Linked DNA regions of Elephas maximus indicus. The protein of the gene in region 2 interacts with the protein of the main gene of each other region in a pairwise test. Links are inferred from orthologs where the notes say so. Each region holds a gene or a part of one and is shown on either strand. Other genes may lie near its edges.

Region 1 (7,228 bases), on a different chromosome or scaffold from region 2:
GTTACACATTTCTACAGCAAATGGGTTTTGGCAAAGATGAAACCAGGTATTCGATAGGGTTGGAGGGATTATTCCTCAGGGCTTAAGTATTTAGGGAGCAGGAGAGGGGGACTTTGGGCTTAGGGCTGCAGGAGCAGGGATTTTAAGGTTAGATATAAGGTGGGGGTCAGGACTGGGCTGGGGCTGAGAAGGAGAATGGATTGGGGGTGGACAGAGGTTGGGAATCATTTCAGGGTCAAAGATTGGGTGGGAGTTAGGAGTGGGATGGGGGTCAGGTGGGTGGGTCTCAGCTGTGGGTAAGGTTGTCTGTCATATATCTTACTTGGTAATAACTAATCACTCAATGTTTTGTTTGGAGGGGTTAGATGATAAGTGAATGGCCAGGATCCAGGGCACCAAGGAATGGCACCTTCCAAGGCCCTCTTGGTTTAGAACTTTCCTGGATCAGTTTTGGGAACCCATGAGCTAGCTTTCCCTATTCACACAGCTGTATAAGCATCTCTTGGCACCAAGTCCCAGCCCCAAGCATTTCACCGTCAGAAGAGTCTTGCATCTGCACACTTTTGAGATTTCATGGCACGTGGCCTTTTCGTATCTTGTCCACACCCATCCATTTACCATCTTAGAGCCAAAATTCTATCTATAACAGAGCATTCCTCTGAAAGCCCAGGGAAGCTACCTGCTTTTCAAGGGCCTTCAGGCCCAAAAGACTCTTTGAGGCTACAGAATGTTCTTAGTGTTCAAAACAATATCTTACAGTTTTCTGGTCTTCACAAAGCACTTCACAGATAGGCATTGCCTTTGACTCACAACAACCCCATGATAGGGTTGGGACCCATTTAACACTGAGACTCAAGGAAATTAATTGGCCAAGGTTACACATTGTGTAGATGCGTAAAATGGGACTTATTTGTTTTTCCACAACAGGCCTGGAGAGTCTTAACAAGTGAGTAGCTACTCTCTGGGAACCTCACTACCCTAGTTGGCTCATTTCCCAGACCTGGGGATGTAGACTGAAACAGGAGAAAAGGAAGTCTAGGAAACAGGGGATGCCTGGGTGGAAAGGTCTAGAAGGTGAGTTGAGGTCTCAGGGGGGTTTCTGCCAGTTCCTCTCCCACTAGACTTCTATCAGTGAGGCTCTCTCCTGATCTGTGGCACCTCTGAAAGTGGGAAGAAGCATTGGTGGGAGAAAATGGAGAGTCCAGGGGTAGCCAGGTGGAAGTTCTAGGTGAGGTCTGAGGCTGAGAAAGCTGAGCAGTTGCAAGAAAATGCTGCCAGTTGCCAAGGGGCACCCAGTAGTGTCACCACATCCACATGGGAACCCTCAATGGCTTGGCCAAGCTCTGCCCCCGCTTAAGCCTTCTGCCCTATCCCCTCCTCTCAAAGTCACTGTCTCCCCACACCAGGTACCTGAGGCATCAACTTGAGGCAGGCACTAGAGATCAGGCCAGTCTGTCCTGTCAGCTCCAGAAACACTACACAAGTTTCGGCCCCATGCTAGCATCTGGGGTGCTGGGGCCTGCTGAGGCTATAAGGTCCTGGTCCCACTGCCCTCCCTCTCCCCAGGCCTCAGGCCCTAGGCCTGGGCTCAACAGACACAGGCAGCGGGATGGGGTTGCCTTCTATTGGTCCAAGTCCTGAGTGTGGCCAGTGTGAGACATGGAAGCAAGGAGACCCACAAGGCTCAGCAGTGTGGAGAAAAGCAGCAGGAAGGAGGCGGTGAAGAGCATGGCGGGGAGGGCACTGAGCACCAGCAGCAGGATGGCAGGCAGCAGGTGGCGCCACGCTGCAGCCACAACAGGCCACAGGGAGCTTAGCAGGTGGGAGCCAGTGGTGAAGAGAGCGTGGCACAGCATCAGCGCCAGCAGCAGGTAAAGCATCCCCTCAAGGCCCCATAGCACACGTTGCAGTGGTTGCCGCCAGCTGGATGTGGCCCACCACTGGGCCCAGCTCCGAGGCACATGGCATGCCCACCAGCGCGCCCAACCCTGCCGCGAGACCCAGGCCGACCAGGGCGCCACAGGCTGCAGCCCCTCACCGGCCCCGATGGCATCTGTGTCCACTCGCGGCTGCTGCATCATGGCTGGTGCACCTGGGGAGAGGGCCGGGCCAGTTGCAGGAGCAGCCCTGCAGAGGCTTGCTACCTCAGGTAGGTAGGGGCATGGGGCTCAGGAAGGCACCAATGTGGTTGGGATAGGGCAGTGAGCTGGGGCCCGGGACTTACCTCTGGGCAGAGCCACCTAAGTCATGTTGCTTCCTGCAGTGCCCAGGACAGCCCAGTAGCTAGATCCGAGGCCCCAGTCTTGCCCACCCCCACCCTCCCCAGAGGAGCCCTATTGTGACCCGGGTCCGGGGTGGGGTCCAGCCAAGAGAGGAGCCACTGTGGACCCTCCAGGCAGGCAGGGGAGCCAAATGAGCCCTTGGCTGCAGTGTCTAATACTTTCTTGTGAGGAAGCCCTTCCTGGGTCCCCGACCCTTCCCTGCTGCCTGATATTCAGCCCCACACCCACTTTCTTGCAGGTCTTTCTCTCTAGACTGTCATTCTCTTGAACCACAGAGGGGGCGATATGCCCACCTCCAACCTGCAGGCTGAGATCAGTGCCACCTCCTGCCCCGGGCTCCCTGTCTCTCATCATACTATCCCTCACCTTCTCTCCCCAGCTGGGCCCCCAGATCAGACCTAGATGTCCACTGCCCACATTGTGGGGCCAGGGCTTCCTGGAGGTTCAGGCTCGGGATAAGGGGCACCTCCCTCCTGCCCAGCCCAAGATGAAGGAAAGGAGGCCCGAGGAAGCAGGATAGCCAGTGTATTTTGGGAGGGCACGCAGTGTTTTGGGAAAGCGTTCAGACCCAAGGGTGGAGGCAGAAAGCCAGGCCAAGCAGGGCCAGGGGCATGCCCTGGGCCCCCAGGAGCAGACCCAGGCCCAAAAGCAGCAGTAGAAGCGCATCTTGGAGACTGACTTGTCTTATGACTGCGACCGGTGTCAGAAGCAGAGCCCCCTGCTGTCCTGGACCTTCACCGGCTCCCTGACTCGGGCCCCCTGCCAGAGGCCTGTGCTGCAGCAGGGTGGGAGCTGTGGGCCTGTGAAGAAAGAGGGAGGCAGCAGGGCTCAGAAAGGTTGACCACTTGTCCACCTGCCTACATGTCTCCCCACCTGCCAGGCCGCCTGGCCACTTACCCGTGGAGCAGATCAAAGGCAAGGAAATTGACCAGTAGCAGCAGCAGCAGCAGCGCTGGTACAGCTGTGAAAAGGACTGCTCGAATTGCCAGCCCCAGGGCCACCAGCCCTAGGGCACTGTCCAGGAGGTGGGCCAGGCTAGGGCCCCAGAGGAACACACTTGGACCCACTGGACTGCCTGACCCCTTTCCAGCATCCAGGTGCCTGGGAGAGACTGGAATCGGACCTGCCAGGGCTTGGGGCCCGGATAAGCAGAGCCCGGTCATGGAGGGATGTGGTGACAGGAAGGGTTAGTGCTGGGAGGGAATGTCAGGGGTGGGGGTGTGGGCAGGGGTGGGGCCCTAGCAGACTCTCAAAGATGAGCTCCGAGAGTGGGAAATTGGGCTTTAATTGGGCATGAACCTCCCCCTCCCCCCACACCCACCCACTGAACCCTCCTTACCTCCTCCCACCTGGCCAGCAATTCGGAGACTGGGAAGCTGGGCCATTGTGACCTGCTGCCAGGCGGAGCCCTGGGAGAGGGAGGAGGCTGCTGCCTAGTTCTGGCCTCATAAGCAGCTGGGAAAGCCTAGGTGGCTCTTGGCCAGAAATCAGTGATTTCTGAGAACTAAAACTCACCCTCCTTGCCTTGCTAACCCTTTGCCCCAGGGACCTCTCTTGGGGATCTGAGTTCTCGGGAAGACATTCTTACCCCATTACTGCATGGGCACTAGGCCAGGGGAGAAAAGGGAGGGCTACTGTCTTCCTGTGAGTTCCCAGAACTGTGTGTCCAGGGGCAAGTCATGCAAATTCTCTGTCCCCATGTCTCTCCCCTGAGAGTGGGTGATGCCTGTGGGCTCTTGGGGGGATTTGCCAGGGCTACAGCTCTGGAAGACAAAGAAACTCTGCCAGGAAGCAGCCTAAGGCTTTCTGGGGCTGAGCTCCCACATGACCTGCTAAATGGGGTAGGGGCAGGAGGGGGCAGTTCATGTGTTCTAAGCACTACAGTGTGCGGGAGGTGTTCTGGAGAAAGGGTCCCAGAAATGGAATAGAGGATGTGAGTGTAGGAGGGGTACAACATAGTAACCCCCTAAACTGGAGGCTAAGGTTACCTTCTGAGAATATTAAGGAAAATCAACATGCAATGAAGGGATCAAGGGGCCCTGGTGGTGCAGCAGTTAAGCACTCTGCTGCTAACTGAAAGATCAGCAGTTGGAAACCACCAGGCACTCCCGGGGAAAAGATGTGGCAGTCTGCCTCCATAAAGATTGCAGCCTTGAAAACACTATGGGGCAGTTCTACTCTGTCCTATAGGGTCATTATGAGTTGGAATTGGCTCAATGGCAATGGGTTTTTTGTTTGTTTGTTTAATGACGGGATCGGTCACCTAGAAAAGAAATCTGTCCCCACTGATAGTCTGTAAATGAGTGGTGGCTGCAGAAGTTCCAGCATGTCTCAGTTCAGTGACTTGAGAGGCAAGAGTGGAAATGGGTCATAATTGTTGTTAGGTGCCATCAAGTCAGTTCCGACTCATAGCGGCCCTATGTACAACAGAACGAAACATTGCCCGGTCCTGTGCCAACCTCATGATCGTTATTATGCTTGGGCCCATCGTTGCAGCCACTGTGTCAATCCATCTTGTTGAGAGACTTCCTCTTTTTCACTGACCCTCTACTTCACCAAGCACGGTGTCCTTCTCTAGGAACTGGTCCTTCACGTCCAAAGTATGTGAGATGAAGTCTCACCACCCTCCCTTCTAAGGAGCATTCTGGCTGTACTTCTTCCAATACAGATTTGTTCGTTCTTTTGGCAGTCCATGGTATATTCAGCATTCTTTGCCAACACCATAACTCAAAGGTGTCAATTCTTCTTTGGTCTTCCTTATTCACTGTCGAGCTTTCACATGCATGCAAGACAATTGAAAACACCATGGCTTGGGTCAGGCACACCTTAGTCCTCAAAGTGACATCTTTGCTTTTTAACACTTGGAAGAGGTCTTTTGCTGCAGATTTGCCCAGTGCAATGTGTCTTTTGATTTCTTGACTGCTGCTTCCATGGATGTTGATTGTGGATCCAAGTAAAATGAAATCCTTGACAACTTCAGTTTATTCTCCGTTTATCGTGCTGCTGCTTATTGGTCCAGGTGTGAGGATCTTTGTTTCCTTTATGTTGAGGGGAAACCCTGGTGGTGTAGTGGTTAAGTACTACAGCTTCTAACCAAGAGATCGGCAGTTCGAATCTGCCAGGCACTCCTTGGAAACTCTATGGGGCAGTTCTTCTCTGTCCAATAGGGTTGATATGAGTCAGGAATCGACTCAATGGCAGTGGGTTTGGATTTTTTGGTTTTATGTTGAGATGTAATCCATATTGAATGCTGTGGTCTTTGATCTTCATCAGTAAGTGCTTCAAGTCCTCTTAACTTTCAGTAAGCAAGGTTGTGTCATCTGTATAATGGAAGTTGTTAATGAGTCTTACTCCAGTCCTTATGCCCCGTTCTTCTTCATATAGGCCAGCTTCTTGGATTATTTGCTCAGCATACAGATTGAATATGCGAGGTGAAAGGACACAACCCTGATACGCACCTTTCCTGACTTTAAACCATGTGGTCTCTCTCCGTTCTGTTCCAATGACTACCTCTTGATCTAGTTCCTCATGAGCACAATTAAGTGTTCTGAAACTCCCATTCTTGGCAATGTTATCCATGACTTGTTATGATCCACACAGTCGAATACCTTTGCATAATCAAAAAAAACACAGGTAAACATCTTTCTGGTATTCTCTGCTTTCAGCCAGGATCCATCTGATATCGGCAGTAGTGTTCCTGGTTTTTTGTCCTCTTCTGAATCCAGCTTGAATTTCTGGCAGTTCCCTGTAGATATACTGCTGTAACCACTTTTGAATGATCCTCAGCAAAAATTTACTTGTGTGTGATATAAATGATATTGTTCGATAATTTCCACATTCGGTTGAATCACCTTTCTTTGGAATAGGCATAAATATAGATCTCTTTCAGTCAGTTGGCCAGGTAAGCTCTCTTTCAAATTTCTTGGCATAGACAAGTGAGCACTTCCAGCGCTGCATCTGTTGGTTGAAACATCTCCACTGGTATTCTGTCAATTCCTGGAGCCTTGTTTTTCACCAGCGCCTTCAGTGCAGCTTGGACTTCTTCCTTTGGTACTTGATCATATGCTACCTCCTGAAATGATTGAACGTCGACCAATTCTTTTTGGTACAGTGACTGTTTTCCCTCCATCTTCTTTTGAAACTTCCTGCATCATTCAATATTTTGTCCATAAAATCCATTACTACTGCAACTTGAGGTTTGAATTTTTTCTTCAGTTCTTCCAGCTTGAGAAATACCGAGTGTGTTCTCCTCTTTTGATTTTCTAACTCTAGGTCTTTGCACATGTCATCATAATACTTTACTTTGTCTTCTCGAGCTGCCCTTTGAAATCTGTTCAGCTCTTTTACTTCATCATTTCTTCCATTCCCTTTAACTACTCTACATTCAAGAGCAAATTTCAGAGTCTCTTCCGACATCCGTTTTGGTCTTTTCTTTCTTTCCTGTGTTTTTATTGACCTCTTGTTTTCTTCATGTATGATGTCCTTGATGTCATTCTACAACTTGTCCAGCCTTTGGTCATTAGTGTTCAACCCTTCAAATCTATTCTAGAGATGGTCTCTAAATTGAGGTGGGATATACTCAGGGTCATACTTTGGCTCTAGTGGACTTGTTCTAATTTTCTTCAGCTTCAACTTGAATTGCATATAAGCAATTGATGGTCTGTTCTGCAGTTGGCCCCGGCCTTGTTCTGACTGATGATATTGATTTTTTCCATAGTCTCTTTCCACAGATGTAGTCAATTTGATTCCTGTAAATCCCATCTGGTGAGGTCCACGTCTACTGTTGCCATTTATGTTGTTGTGAAAAGGTTTGTAAAGAAGAAGTCGTTTGGTCTTGCAAAGTTCTATCACGTGATCTCTGGCATCATTTCTATCACCAAGGCCATATTTTCCAACTACTGATCCTTCTTCTTTGTTTCTAACTTTCACTTTCCAATCGCCAGTTA
Region 2 (7,630 bases):
TAGTCATATCCAAACACCTCGTGGGACTGAGATACTGGGCTTGAAGGCTAAGGACCATAGTCTTGGACATATCTAGGCCAATTGGCATAACATAGTTCTCAATGGTCTATATCCTAGTTTGGTGAGTAGTGTCTGGGGTCTTTTAACCTTGTGGACGGCCATCTAAGATACAACTCTTGGTCTCTTTCCATTTGGAGCAAAGGAGAGTGAAGAAACCAAAGACTCAAGGAAGCAGTTAGTTCACAGGACTAATGGCTCACATGAATGACAACCTCCTCTAGCCCGAGGACAGAAAAACTAGGTGCTACCACTACCAACCGCTCTGACCAGGGACACGATAGAAGGTCCCAGTTAAAGTGGGACAAAAATATAGAACAAAACTGAAATTCATAAAAAAGACCAGCCTCATCGGAGTGATAGAAACTGGAGGAACCACCAAGACTATTGCCCTAATACATCCTTTTAACCTGGAACTGAAGCCACTCCTGTAGGTCATCTTTCAACCAAATAATAATTGGCCAATAAAATAAACAATGACACCTGTGAAGAATGTGCTCCTTAGTACAATCAACTGTGGGAGAACAAATGGGCAACATTTGTGCAAAAGCAAAGATGAGAAGGCAAGGAGAGGCAGGGAAACTGGAGGGACAGAAACGAGCAAGGCAGGGTGGAAACGGGGAGAGTGCTGACACACTCCGGGGACAGCAACCAACATCATGGAACAACCTGCGTATGAATTGTTGAATGGGAAACTAATTTTGCTGTGTAAACTTTGACCTAAAACACAATAAAATGTTAAATAATAAGGAGTTTATGTTAAAAAAAAATTTAAATTGGCACTAATTTGAGCTAGATTGTTGTGAGTTAAAATGTTAATTTTAATCCCCAGGGCAGCCACTGAGAAAGATGGAGGGAATGATAAACTGTGTCAAATCTGGCTGATAGTTTAAGATGTGATCTGAGAATTGACTACTTGATTTGGCAATACTGAGGCTTGTGGTGTCCTTGAAGAGCAGTCGACTCATAGCGACCCTATAGGACAGAGTAGAACTGCCCCAGAGTTTCCAAGGAGCGCCTGGAGGATTCGAACCGCCAACCCTTTGGTTAGCAGCCATAGCACTTAACCACTATGCCACCAGGGTTTCCTTTGGGGAATTATGGGGGCAAAATTTGACTAGATTGGTTCAGGTAGAACCAGAGAAAGGGAAGTGGAAACAATGTAGGTCGTTCTTCCAGGAGTTTTGCGAAAAGGGGAGCAGAGAAATAGGAATGCGGGTGAAGAGCAAGAGATATTATGACAGGTCTGTATACCAAAGGGAATGGTTCGGCAGAGTGAGAGAAACTGGCAAGTGCCTCTTCTGTCTCTGTTACTAAGAAAGATGTATTATTGGAGCACCATGCTTCTCACCCCACTGTCCTAGGCACAGGTGCCTTTGCTTATTCGTATATATATGAACGTAGACATGTGCATTTTTTATTTTATGCCACTATGAAATATGCACAAAAATTTAATTTTTACAAGTTTAAGATAACATTTAAAAATGTCTTGTTAATTATGATGACATCACGTGATGGCTAGCTAATACTTCAAGGCAAAACAGCCTCTTAGGGTGAGGTATACGGTGAATGAAATCCATGTCTCAAATGTCTTCTTGCTAAGTTTGAATTTTCTGGCTGTCTTCTTGTCAATTCCAGTTAGAATGATCCCTGCTCTTACCTTATAGTGAAGCCGACAAAGAGCTAATACCAAGAAGAGTAGTAATGACTGTTATTTGTTGTTTTCCTGTTGTTCACCTCAATCATTAGTGCTATCGTACTCTCTTCTATCTGGTCTTTCAAGTATCTTTTTTAACTTTTTATTATGGAGACTTGCAAACATATATAAAAAGACAAAAGAATATAATGAACCTTGATATACCCATCACTGCCCTTCCATAATTACCAGCATGGCCCATTTGCTTCCCTCTAGCCCTGTTAATATTTTGAGGGAAATCCTATACATCATTTTAGTTCATGTGGAAATAATTCAGTGAGTTATCTCTAAAAACATAAAAAAAAAAAAAACATAGGGACTCAAAAACAAAAATTCATAACTATGATGCCATTATCGCACCTAAACAATAATTTTTAGGAATCTTTAATTCACAGCAATGGGGAAGTCTGTTTCCGGTCGGAAAAGAGAGAAATGTTGTTTTTAGTATAATAAAGCTGAGGTCATTATTTCACAAGGAATAAGGTCAAAATCATATTAACCTGACAGAGGCCTTCTTGACATAGACTAACTGGGGCGCATTTCACTAGCAAACTAGACAGATGGTCCTTGAAGTAAGCTACTGTTTGTGATGGTGGGTTGTTTGTCTTCAGGTGGTACAGGACTGAAGGTGGCCCTGGCATGGTGGAGCAGGGCTGATCTGACACGGGAAAGCAGCCACCTCGCTCCCCGCATCTGTGGAACCAGAGCACCACGTCCTCTACCCTCTTCCATCAGCAGGAAGCAGGATCTGATGAAAACCACTCTCACCCAAACGAAGCTGGACAGGAGTAGAGTTTGTAAGACACAGGAAGGGATGAATAGTGGATTCCGTTACGCCAAGGGCAGGGGTCGGTGGACCAGGCTGGGGTGGCTTGGAGGAATGAAAGGCAGTACAAAGGGACAGTTAATGTAGGAGGGAGCACTTGACCCTCTTTGAAGACTAACCCCAACTGCGTGGTAGGATGGAGTTAGCTGGCCTAATCAACGCAAGCACCTGTTGTTAGTCCTGGACTGTTTGCAATTACTTGAAACTTCAGTCAAAATAACTCCTTTATTCACCCTCAAAATTTCCTTTACAGTGTAGGGAAGACGGAGAAAGAAGAATTTGGACTGTGGTGGGGGGTAAAGGGGGAACAGCCAGCCCTGAGAATATCTGTGCAGAGGCGCACCCACCAGTACACAGGTACTCTGCAGAGAAGCCACAAAGTGCAGTCTCCATTTTCCATGGAAGACAGTCCCCCGCTCTTCACCTCCCAGAAGGAAGGGAGCCTGCCACAGAGCTCACAACTGTGTTCACCCACATCATGCACACACTTAGAAGTCTGTTCTTCAGGGAACAAAAAACTACTTGCTGTGGAGTTGACTCTGACTCCTGGCAGCCCCGTGTGTGTCAGAGAACTGTGCTCTGCAGAAGTTTCAAATGGCTGAACCAGTAGATCGCCAGGCCTTTCTTCTGAGGCGCCTCTGCATGGACTAGAACTTCTAACCTTTCAGTGTTAACCATTTGCAGTACCCAGGGACTCAGGTCAGACCACTGGGCAGCCAAACTCCAAGTGGTCAGTGAGGTACTCTTGAGGTTAAGTTCATGGTTAGAATTTATTACAATAAACACCACACACACCAAATTTTAGGCATCAACATAGAATGGTTAACTTTTAATTTTTTTAAGTACCAATATTAAAATAAACAAGCCATTGTTTCGTTAAAAAAAAAAATTAACACCAAGAAATAAAGTCTCAGAATAAAGGCCAATCGTTTACCTTTCGTTTTCTGAAAATTGACTAAATTTGTCTTATTTTTCTCTTTTCCACAAGAACCACTAATAACCTAGGTCAGGACTTCAGATCAGTGTTGGGGAAACACTTGAGTGGAAATCGTCAGACCTTGGCTCTAACCCCTCATTAAACAGAGGAGTGATTTGGCGCAATCTGTTTGCTCCGCGGTTAACTGGGTTCATACAAGAGAAAAATGCCCCTTCCAAAGCCACTCCTGACTGAATGGCCGACTTCTTCCACGTGTTGGCCTGTCCCCCGGTTTGTCAGACGAGACTCGTGGGCAAGAACGAACGACTCTCCGCCCTGCGCCCCGAGCCAGCAGCTGCACACCCCGCCAGCACCCCCGCCTCGGAGGGCCCCCGCCCGGCAGGCAGGGGCGGGAGGTTCCTGACGCCCAGGGCCCTGCAGCCTTCCTGTTTTGAGGATGGCGCCCACAGCAGAAGCTAACACGCACTGGCCGGAGGAAAAAGCTGAACACAAGGGGCAGGGGCGCACGCCGCCTTTCCCACTTCTCCAGGCGCTTTCTGCGCAAACTGGGCAAGGGGCCGTGGCTCCCTAAGGCGGAGCAAGGGGCAGCCTCCCCCGTCCTCCAGGAGGTACCCCTTCCGCGGCCGGCCGCAGGCCCGCCGGCTCTTCCAGGGCCTCCTCTCCCAGACCTGCTTGGAGTCTCGGCTTCTACAGCCCGGAGAGCAGGAGGGAGGGACGGACGAACGGCCCACCCCGCGGCCACTTACAGCACCTGGCCGCGGAGAAAGCCCGTTCTCCGGGCGCACGCGCACCGCGCCCCAGCACCACCGCAGGCACGCAGCCCGGGCGGTCCCAACAAGGGGAAAGGGCAGCTGGGAGGTGCCAGAGGGGAGAATGGGCGGAGACCGGCTCGCTAGAGATACCGCCCATTGGTTCCTCTCGCTCCGCCCCCGGTCCTGATTGGCCGCAGGCCTGGTGCACGGGCCGAGCACGCTTCCCGGAGCTGCGCGGCGTTCGGCCGGCGACAGCTGCGCAGCCAATGGGAGAGGCCGGCGGGGCGGGGGCTGGCCCGGCGCTGGGTCTACCCGGGCGCGGGCGAGTTGGTAAACAGATCCGGAGCGCGTGCTGGGCCTCAGCGCTGCGGTGAGCGCGCGGACGCTGCGCGAAGGTGACCGCGGATCCCAGGCTCCAGCAGCCAGGTAAGGCTGCTGCCCTTCGGCCTGTCGCGTGCCCGGGGCGCCGTCTGCCTGCGGCCAGAGCCGGGCTTAGCACACGCCTGGGCCCTTCTTGCATTCTCCCTAAGTGACATTGCGGCTTCACCTTGGCAAGTTTGAATTGCCTGGAGCTCTGGGGTGGGCGCGCTTCAGGATGCGGGGTGGGGGCTCTGTAGCTGTCGCCTACCTCCGCACCCACCTTCGCCCATCCGGACCAGCCTCGAGGAGGGGATGAGGCCCATGTGCCGAGCCATGGGTCCCCGGGACGCTCAAGGAAGCCCTGGTGACCGGCTGCTCCAAAGTCCGTGCCTCGTGGTCTCCAGTAGAGCGTTCCTGCTTCGTTTTCTCACGATAGGGTTCTCGTCACTCCCGGGCCCCCGTGCAATTTTCACCCGTGACTGAGGGGCTCTAACTGCGTCAGGGTGCAGGTTTGTGTCTGAACTTTGGTTCCCTTGGCCAGAGCCAGCTGTTGGGATTCACAGGTGGAGGTTTGGGGTCCTTTCTTTTGTTTGCTTTTTTCTTTGGTCCTTCCTGCTACTTCTCCAGACGTTAGAGGTCTTGTGAGTGCTTTGGGCTTAATCCCCTAAACTCGAGCCTGGGCCCCACTGGATGCATAGTGGCCACACAGCTCCCCTCTGCCAAACCCAGGCCGGTTTTCCCATGTGCTTGGGTTCCCCGGAGGGAACGGTGCAGGGGCAGGTCTGGGTGCTGAGACCCTCCATTTGGGTGAGAGATATAAACCTTCTGAAGGGTGAGGCTTGTGCAGCTTCCCAGCTTGGGTCGGGCCTGCAGCCCACTGGAAAACTTGTCCACGCACACTTGGGCCTTGGGTCTACGTGACAGAGGCCTGAGAACTGGGCATGCCAGGCCTACCTCCTTGCCAAAGGGTTTGAGCATGAATTAATGTCAGCCTGCCAGTTGTATGCCATGGATGGGTGGGTCATTCTCGCAAGAGGGCTGTTGGGAGACTGTCTCTGTTGGAGGAAGACTCTCCTGAAAAAAGACAAAAGGGGAGCTGGTGGCTCATAGGAGCAGCATCTTCAAGACTCAAGCAATGGCTTTGGGCGGTTTTGTTGAGCCTTGTGAATAACGTAGACAATGCAAAGTTGCTCTAAGTGTTGCCCTGGCCTCAGGTGACTCGAAGAAAAAGTGAACCTGGTGGTTTCTGCACCTCTACACCTCCCTCAGAGCTGGAATGTCATGTGAGACAGGGCTTCTTAACCATGGGAGTACTGACGTTTTGGACCGAATAATTCTCTGTTGTGGAGGGCTGGCCTGTGTGTTGGAAGATGTGTGTAGTAGCATCCCTGGCATCTACCCACTAGATGCCTGTAGCACCTCCCCTCCAGGTGTGACAATCAAAAATGTCTCCAAACATTGCCCACTGTTCCTTATAGGGGTTGACAGCTACTGATCTAAGACTCCAAAAAGCGTCTCTCTGTGTTGCCAGGGCCTTTTGGGGACCTGTAGTTGGGTAGTGTTGTGTCCCCTGCCCCAGACCACTGGTAGACATCATGTAGATTGACCCCACCTGCCAGTGGAGAGCTAGGAGGCTGGGTTCCATGGGCATTTACCTAGCAGTGATTGGCTGCATGGGGAGTGTAAAAGAAGTAGGAGACTGGTGGCATTTGCCTTTGGGGACCTTGGAAAACTTTGGGGAGTGTTCATATGAAACAACTATTGGAACAGCTTTTGAATAGTAAGCAGACAAGTTTAAGCTATCTAAATGCTGGCAGAAAGGTTTTATCCAGAGGTGGGTTTTCCATGGTAACGCTTTACTCACCCTCACTTTTTGCTCAGACAGCTCTGTGTCTTGTGATTTGGGATGGAGTCAGACCTGTGTATGCAGGAAGTGAGTGTCTGGCTGCGTTTCACATGTACGTGTGTGTATGTACATGTACCACCTGCTTCTTCCTTTAGAGAGGCTTCCTGGGAAGGTCATGGTGCACTATGACATGTTGGGGCCTTGATGGTGCAGTGCTTAAGAGCTTGGCTGTTAACCAAGAGGCTGACAGTTCGAATCCACCAGCTGCTCCTTGGAAACCCTATGGGGCGGTTCTACTCTGTTCTATAGGGTCGCTCTGAGTTGAGATTGGCTTGACGTCAATGGGTTTGGTTTGGTTTTCTTTTATAGTCGATCGAAGCAGTGGTGTCATAAAGATAGTGTGCCGTTTCTTTTTGTTTAGAGAAAGATGCTTTACTTCTAAGTCCAGATTTTGCCTGGAATTTATGCCTCAACTGTCTGAGTCCCAAACTGATGCAGATACAGAAAAATGAAAAACAGTGATTATTGTGTAAGGCCTGCGCAAGGAAAAATCCTAAGCCCCTACCATAAATTTCCTTTTCTGGTTGTCAACTCATGCTCTGGGGATGTATCAGGGTTTTCCTGTATCATTCCTTGGTCAGTTGCAGGGTCTTTGGGATGCCCTTTGTTGCTTGTAGAAAAGATTCAGGACAGGGGGGTCACTTCTCAAAGAGAAGTTTAAAAAAGTCTATTATTGGGAAGCTCCAAACTTGGCAGGATAATTTTCCATTAAGAGCCGTGGGCATTGAGTCATTATCTTTGTCAGTTGAAACTGGAGCTGTGTGCAAAATTAGACAGGAATATTTGGTTAGAGAGTTGTCTTGATTTGACAGTGGTATCTGGATATAGTTCTGGCATTCCTGTTAACAGCCAGAAACTCGGGAGAGCCAGTGGGAAGGAGAGGTGGTGGGAGCATGGGGGCTGCCTAGGTCACCCTGCTCTTTCTGGAATTGCACCAGTGGGAGGGCTGGAGTCTGATGACCCTGTGGTGGGGCCAGGACACTGAGTGAGATACCTGGAGAGGGGCTTGTCCAGGTACCTTGGGAAACCCCAGTGGGTGTCCATTGGTCTGTCCGCAAGCATGTTGTTTGTTGTGGAGTCACAGGCCTTTTGCTAT
Region 3 (7,038 bases), on a different chromosome or scaffold from region 2:
GTTTCCAAGGCTGTAATCTTTAAGGAAGCACACTGCCACATCTTTCTCCTGCAGAGCAGCTGGTGGGTTCAAATCACTGACCTTTTGGTTAGCAGTCAAGCATTTAACCACTGTGCCACCAGGGCTCCTAAATAAATACCTACTACTATCCTAATTTTAGGTTTGGAAAAACTGAGGTGGTGGGAGGTTAAAAAAACTGTCCAAAGTCACTCAGTTAGGTAAGAAGCAAAGTTGGAACTTGAACTTGATTATAGAATCGGCTCCATGGCTTTAACTGAAAACCTATCTACATGTCATCTGAAGATGGAAAATAAATAAAATACCTGCCAAAAAGACTGAAAACGCCACCCCTCCCCCGCCAGGCCACCTGCACCAGAACGGTTTGTCATCTGACTTTACTCTCTGTTACATAATTCCCAAGAGGGGATGCAGACAGGCCTCAAGTCCCTCAATCCCTCCGCCCCCATCCATAGGGATGCTAGATAAAATACAGGATGCCCAGTTAAATGTGAATTTCAGGTAAACAACAAAGAATTTTTTTAGTATAAGTATGTCACATTCAACATTTGGGATACACTTATATTTTTTTATACTAAGTGATTCATCATTTACCCGAAATTCAAATTTAAATGTATGTCCTGTATTTTTACCTACTAAATCTGGCAACATGGAGAGGAGCATTCAGCTAGGTTCCAGGTTGTCCCAGTCTCTGTGGCTCCCAGTCTCTGTGGCATTAACATTTTAGGCTCTCAGTCTGTTGCTGGGAAATTTTCACACATTTCTTATTCAGAGCCCAGTACTCCTGGCAGATTTTTCTGAAGCCTGAAATAGTTGATTAGTTAAAGCAAGTGTTATGGGTTGAATTGTGCCCCCTAAAAGTATGTGTTGCAAATCCTAATCCTGATTTCTGTGGTTATAATCCAATTTAAGAATGGGTTTTCTTTGTTATGTTAATGAGGCAGTATTAGTGTACAAAACAAAAAAACAAACCCACTGCCGTCGAGTCGATTCCGACTCATAGTGACCCTATAGGACAGAGTAGGACTGCACCATAGAGTTTTCAAGGAGAGCCTGGCGGATTTGAACTGCCAACCTCTTGGTTAGCAGCTGTAGCACTTAACCACTATGCTACCAGGGTTTCCAGTATTAGTGTAGGATATGTCTTAATTAAGTCTTCTTCCGAGATATAAAAAGAGCAGATTGAGCAAGCGGAGATGGGGGAAGATAGACGCCAAGCCACATGGAAATCTCCGAGGGACAGAAGCTCAAAAGAGACAAAGATTCTCCTCTAGAGCTGACAGAAATGCTTCCCCCCGAGGTGGTGTCCTGAATTTGGACTTCTAGCCTCCTAAACTGTGAGAAAATAGAATTTGTTTGTTAAAGTCATCCACTTGTTATAGCAGCACTAGAGAACTAAGACAGCAAGTAACTGTGGAAAGGTATTGGAAAAGCTGCACATGGATTTATTTCATTGACCTGTGAAATGTTCACTGAGAGTCCAGTCCTGGTGCTACGGAGAGATGCCAAGATCCAGGCCATCAGGGGATACAGGGCGTGGTGGAGCAGCAGATATGTATACAATGCAAGAAGCAAAACGAGGCAGGAGAGAGGCCCTATAAAAATACCATAGAGGTGGGAAGAATTTTTTTTCACAGAAGAGCCCCTAGATGGCATCCTTGAACAAAAATCCCAGTGGAAGCCCCAACTCAGCTTTTCAAAGCAATGTGCACCAAGGAACCATAGTGGCAGTGTTTTGTTCTAAGGAAAAAAATAAACCCTTTCCTGGGAGGGGCACCAATCATACTGCAGCTGAACAAAGTGCATGAAGCCAGACAGGATTGTCTGAAACTTACGAGTTTAGGGATACTTGTCTGTCCCTATCCTCGTATCTTCCCTTTTATCTCTGCTGTTGTGGAGGTGCTGCAGCCGGATCCCTTAGCTAATTACCATCATCATCATCATCCCCAAGCTTATTTCCCTATCCACTGCCCTTATAGAAATTTCAGGTGGCAAAAGTAATAATACCACCAAATACATTTTGTGCCCTACTGTATGCCAGATAGGTGCTAAACTCTAATTTACAGCCATTATTATGCCAGTCCTCACTACAGCTCGGTGACGCTTTCTCTCTTTGTAGAAAGAATTCTTTTCTAGGTTGCTATTGTTCTAGGGTAAAAATATCACAAAGTTTAGTAAAACAAAAAGAAAGGTTTTATTCATCATATATTCAAAGAGGCAAAAGTGGGAAACAGACAAGCATGCTGCTAGAACCATGTCTGCCTGAGTCCAAGGAATATTACAGAACAGACAAGAGTGGGAAAACAAACAAGCATGCTGCCACAGTCATGTCTGTCCCAGTCCAAGGAACGTTACAGATTCATCAGTATATATGAACATTACAAATGCGCAAAACCATTGAAAACTTCGCCTTTTCACCGATTGGCTAAAACCTGTTCGGTCACTGTGATCCTGTATTTTGAATTGTCTTTCTTAACTATCACTGGTACAGGTTTCAGTAACGATGGTCAGGGGGGTCTTTATCAGTCCAACAAATTTTACTAGTCACTAAACGCTAATAAAAAAGACGTAAGAGTGGAAAGTATGTGGGTCTTTTGTGCTGTTTTTATGAGTGCTTTATGTGAAAGGATCCCTAAAAGATGTTTTCCACGGTTGTCCTTTATACCTCAGGGCCCAGCTGATGTGTCCCTGTGAGACTTTGTGAGTCCAGCTCCAGCTGGGTCACATTCTAGGACGGGGAATAATGGCTCTGATATTATCTCCTAAATCACTATCAACAGGGGCCACAGAGAAAAGGTAGGTCCGAAAGGGCCCTGGATGGGAAGTGCCAGAGGACTAGACAGTAGGAGACCAAGGCTCAGGTCTGTCAGTCTGTCACTCTCCCTGTTACGCAGATGAGGAAGTCACAGTAAGAGTCGGGGCCCAGAGCCCAGGACTTTTGGACTCCTGCCAATGTCCCCTGTGGCCAGTATGCCCTATGGTAGTGTTGTCAACTCTGGGAAACGGTGTTCCCAGGGGACATTTGGCTATATCTGGGGACACTTTTGGCTGTCATGACTTGGGGGGTTGTATTGGCATCTAGTGTATAAACAAAAAAAACCCACTGCCATCAAGTCCATTACAACCCCATTGGACAGAGGAGAGCTGCCCCATAGGGTTTCCAAGGCTGTAATGTTTATGGAAGTAGATTGCCACATCTTTTTCCCTCAGAGCGGACAGTGGGTTCCACTGGCCGACCTTTTGGTTAGCGATTGAGTGCTTAACCACTGCACCACCAGAGCTCCTCATCTAGTGGGTAAAGTCGGGAATTCTGCTAAACATCCTACAACGTACTTGGCAACTTCCAACACACAACACAGAATTACCCTGCCGGAAACATCAACAGTGCCGAGGTTAAGAAACGCTGCTCTTTGGGCAGGATTTGGAGTCAAGAACGTAGGCTCCCTCTGGCTCTGACTCGTATCCTTGCTAATTGAGGGATTTGGGTTTAGTTACTGTCTCCCAGGCCCTTGACTTTTTCATATGTACAATCTCTAAGGATCTCACTGGCTCACTCCATTTGCATTCGAGGAGTTAAAACCTTTGTCAGGGTCATACCTCACCACGTGAGTTCTGAGCTCCAGAGATGCTTCCAGAAGAGTTGATTCTGGGCATTTAGGTAGGGAAAGCCCTAAGACTGTGTGAAAACCCATTCTTAGCTGTCAGTCCACCTGTCTCAGAGGCGGCCCGAGCATTCTCGCTCCAAGCCTGGGGACTCTCTCTGAGCCTCAGTTTCCTCATCTGCAAACCTCTCCCTTTGGTCCCGGTGGCTCCATGGCCCTTTGCCAAAGCTGGGCGCGGCCGCTTGGCGCCTCTGGCCCAATGCTTCCCGCCCCGCGGGCAAGGCGGAAGGGAGCGCAGCCTTGGGGCGGAGCCGGCGGCCGAGGGGCGGGAAAGGCGGCGACGCGAAGAGGACGCACTTTCCGCGCCCGCCCGTGCATTCGTGCGTCGACTCTCCCTCCCTTCGCTCCGCCTGCCGAAGGGGTGCGCGTGGGCTGGGGACGGCGGAGCCTCGGACAAGGTGAGAGCGCGAAGCTTGGGGGCGGGGAGTACAGGGTGCCCCGGCTGGCTGTACCACTGGCGGGCGGAGGAGATGGAGGAGCCCGAGAGCCGGGGCTGGAGAGGGCGGCCGAGTCCCCCACGCCCTTAGCTCTGTATCCGCTGTCTAGTAAAAAAAAATTAAGGGGTTTCTTCTCACCTGAGTCACTGGGACCGGAGACTGGGCCCAGTCGCCCACCCCCTCCCTGGCCACACCCACAGCCCCTACAGCTAGGTTTGGTAGAAGAGTTGCCAGCCCTACCCGACCCTCGAGACCCTGGGAAACCTAGGTGGGGAAACGTCCGGTCTCCAAATCCCCCTCCCCAGAATTAGTCAAAATGGCTGTCCTTCCTCCCATCCTGTCCTTGTTCTCTAACGAGAACCTCCCCTTCCCCTGTCACTGCAGAGCAGAGGAGCTCCAAGCACCAAAGATGGATTCTTCTTCCCAAATTACTCCGACTCCCCCCTGAGCCCCTCTTTCTCAATCTCCACTGCCCTCCACCTGCATCGCACTCCCTTCCTCTTGGATGACAAGAAATGGGACCTCCCCTCCCCGCCCTGGGAAGCTGAGAGACTGAAACCAGATGGGGACCCATGGAACGTTGCAGGTAGCCGTTTGCCCCGAGAGGTAGGAGAGGCAGGATGCTTTATTTGGAGGCTTAGAAGGAGTGGCCAAGGCGGCCAGTGTTGAAGTGGTTCAGCCCGGGAGGTGCAGAGGAGGCGGGGCAGCTCTCGGCTACTCAGGGGTTAACGTTTTCCTGCCTCCGGATACTTCTCTGCCTGGGGAGGTTCCTCTGAGGGGTGAGTAATTGAGGGGCTGGAATTGGCGGCTGGGCGGGGGATTTGACGGCAGTGGCTGGTGGCTTTCCTCCGAGGCTTACCCCTATCGGACTCCCCAAACCGGTCTGGGTGGCTCTTGGGTTTCCCAGGCCCCAAGAGACTTGTACGGGAAGCTGGGCTTGTTTCTACCCGCTGTAGAGATGACATGAGGGGAGCCCAGCGCTGGAACATCCCCAGTCCAAGATCTGTGCCAGCTGCAGCTCCAAAGACAAAATACGAGGGTGGGAGGTTAGTCCTCCGTTCTGGAGGGTTTCCTGTTTTACAAAAGGGATTGTAGCAGGGGTCCCTTAGCCGAGGTGATTAAAATGTGCTTACTTTTGCATATGAGATCCTTGTAGAAATTTTTTTCCTGAAACTCACATAGTCAGCATATGGAATATTCAGCATATAAGTAAATGTGGGCATGTGTCACAGTGCATTTTGGCTGCTGTGACCTAATCGGTTAGGCGTGTGCAGAGTCACTGATGGCAAGTGGTTTTATTATAGACCAGGAGGTCAGTTGTAAGGAACAAACAGTAAAGGCTGTAAGACTGGGGCCAGCCTTATTGTTGTTGCTCTGGAAAAAAATAAAATCAATAAGGATGATATATTTGTTTAGATGAACATCCAACAAGAGTTTAAAAAAAAATAGCTTAACAAATTGCTTTTTATTAAAAAATAAGTAAAATGATGTGAGGTTGGAACAGTTCTGGAAATTCCAGGCTGTTGCCCATAGAGTATCACCGTGGTGAGGGCTGCTTGGGGAAGAGGCTTACGCATATGAGTAAATAGAGAATGGTTTATGGCACTGTGCAATTGGGAAGCAACCTGCACAGTACCAAAAACAAACCCCTTGCCATCGAGTTGATTCCAACACATAGCGACCCTATAGGACAGAGTAGAACTGCCCCATACAGTTTCCAAGGAGTGCCTGGTAGATTTGAACTGCCGACCTTTTTGTTAGAAGCCGTAGCTCTTAACCATTGTGTCAACCAGGGTTAAAGGAGGGAAATCAGCCAAGGTCACAGTTGTTTGGGAAAGTCTTTGTACAGGGGGAAAAACAAGCAATGGGACTTGAGATAGTATATTCAGCTTCCTCGCTTTTTTCTATGTGCTTTTCAGCATTTTGTCAGAATAAACATAAGCACTCAGAGAAAATACTGTTAACATCTTGTTGTATGCACTTCTAGATTGTTTCTATCCCGAGTTCATAGGAATAGCAATATATACCTAAAAATATATTTGTATGTGTAACAAAATGTACGATTTTGCAATCTGATTTCTTTCCATTATCATGGCCATCTTCTCATACCCTATATAAATATCTACATTATCCTTTTACCGACTGTACAATATTCCATTGTATGACTTTATTCTGATTTAGTTAACCAATTTCCTACTAATGGACAGTGAGTTAGCTTCTTTCCAGTGTTTTCATATTTATTATGTAGGTTCCAATGCACAGCTGTTTGGTATATTTTCATATACCTGTTTGATTATTTCCTTCAGCTTCCTGGAAAATGAATTGCTGAATCAGAGGGTATGTAATTCGAAATTGTGACAGATACTGCCAAGTTACCCTCCACCTACACATCCACCAACAGGAATGTGTGAGGATAGTAGAAACTCTTACTGAACTAATTACATGCGGACCATTAACGATTTAAGAATCTTCTTTTGTTTCCTCCGTGACAGCAAGAGAGAGAGCGACATGTGACATTTGACTACCCTGCACTCACTGGTAGAAGAGTCAGTCCCCAAGGAGACTAAAGTGAGTTTCACCATGGCGAAAGAGGAGCTCCCAAGTATCTCAAAGGACTTGCAGGAGCTGCAGAAGAAGCTGTCTTTGCTGATAGAATCCTTCCAGACTAACGTAAAGGTCAGTTTCCAATCACCATGTGTAATGGAAAATCCCAAAATAACATTAGCATAAACAAGATAGAAAGTTATTTCTCAAGTAGAAGAAATTTAGAGGGAGGTCGGGAATCTTTCTAGCTCACTACCCTGTCATGTCTAAACTCTGACCCTCAACCTCATTGTCCAAGATGGCTGCTAGAGCATCAGCCATTACATCCATGTTCCAGGTAGTTGGATGGAGGAGAAGGGGAAAGGAGACTTAACCAC

The links.
Region 1: the proteins of COQ8A (region 2) and TMEM239 interact in binary tests that used the Homo sapiens proteins (3 or more experiments, as listed by UniProt). The two-hybrid records come from large-scale screens. The link is inferred for Elephas maximus indicus from reciprocal best matches to the Homo sapiens genes COQ8A and TMEM239.
Region 3: the proteins of COQ8A (region 2) and LDAF1 interact in binary tests that used the Homo sapiens proteins (3 or more experiments, as listed by UniProt). The two-hybrid records come from large-scale screens. The link is inferred for Elephas maximus indicus from reciprocal best matches to the Homo sapiens genes COQ8A and LDAF1.

The regions. Positions count from the first base shown.
Region 1 is NC_064843.1:41,403,249-41,410,476, reverse strand, and holds the start of TMEM239 (transmembrane protein 239), read right to left. Parts: upstream 2,093-7,228; 5' UTR 2,082-2,092; coding exon 1,623-2,081; 3' UTR 1-1,622. Other genes in the region: C25H20orf141 (uncharacterized protein C20orf141 homolog), read right to left, coding at 2,845-3,082, 3,180-3,445.
Region 2 is NC_064842.1:16,659,651-16,667,280, forward strand, and holds the start of COQ8A (atypical kinase COQ8A, mitochondrial), read left to right. Parts: upstream 1-4,567; 5' UTR 4,568-4,694; intron 4,695-7,630. UniProt on the Homo sapiens protein: Atypical kinase involved in the biosynthesis of coenzyme Q, also named ubiquinone, an essential lipid-soluble electron transporter for aerobic cellular respiration.
Region 3 is NC_064830.1:81,014,200-81,021,237, forward strand, and holds the start of LDAF1 (lipid droplet assembly factor 1), read left to right. Parts: upstream 1-3,954; 5' UTR 3,955-4,078; intron 4,079-4,501; 5' UTR 4,502-4,703; exon of another isoform or gene 4,704-4,723; intron 4,724-4,729; exon of another isoform or gene 4,730-4,896; intron 4,897-6,609; 5' UTR 6,610-6,697; coding exon 6,698-6,793; intron 6,794-7,038. UniProt on the Homo sapiens protein: Plays an important role in the formation of lipid droplets (LD) which are storage organelles at the center of lipid and energy homeostasis. In association with BSCL2/seipin, defines the sites of LD formation in the endoplasmic reticulum.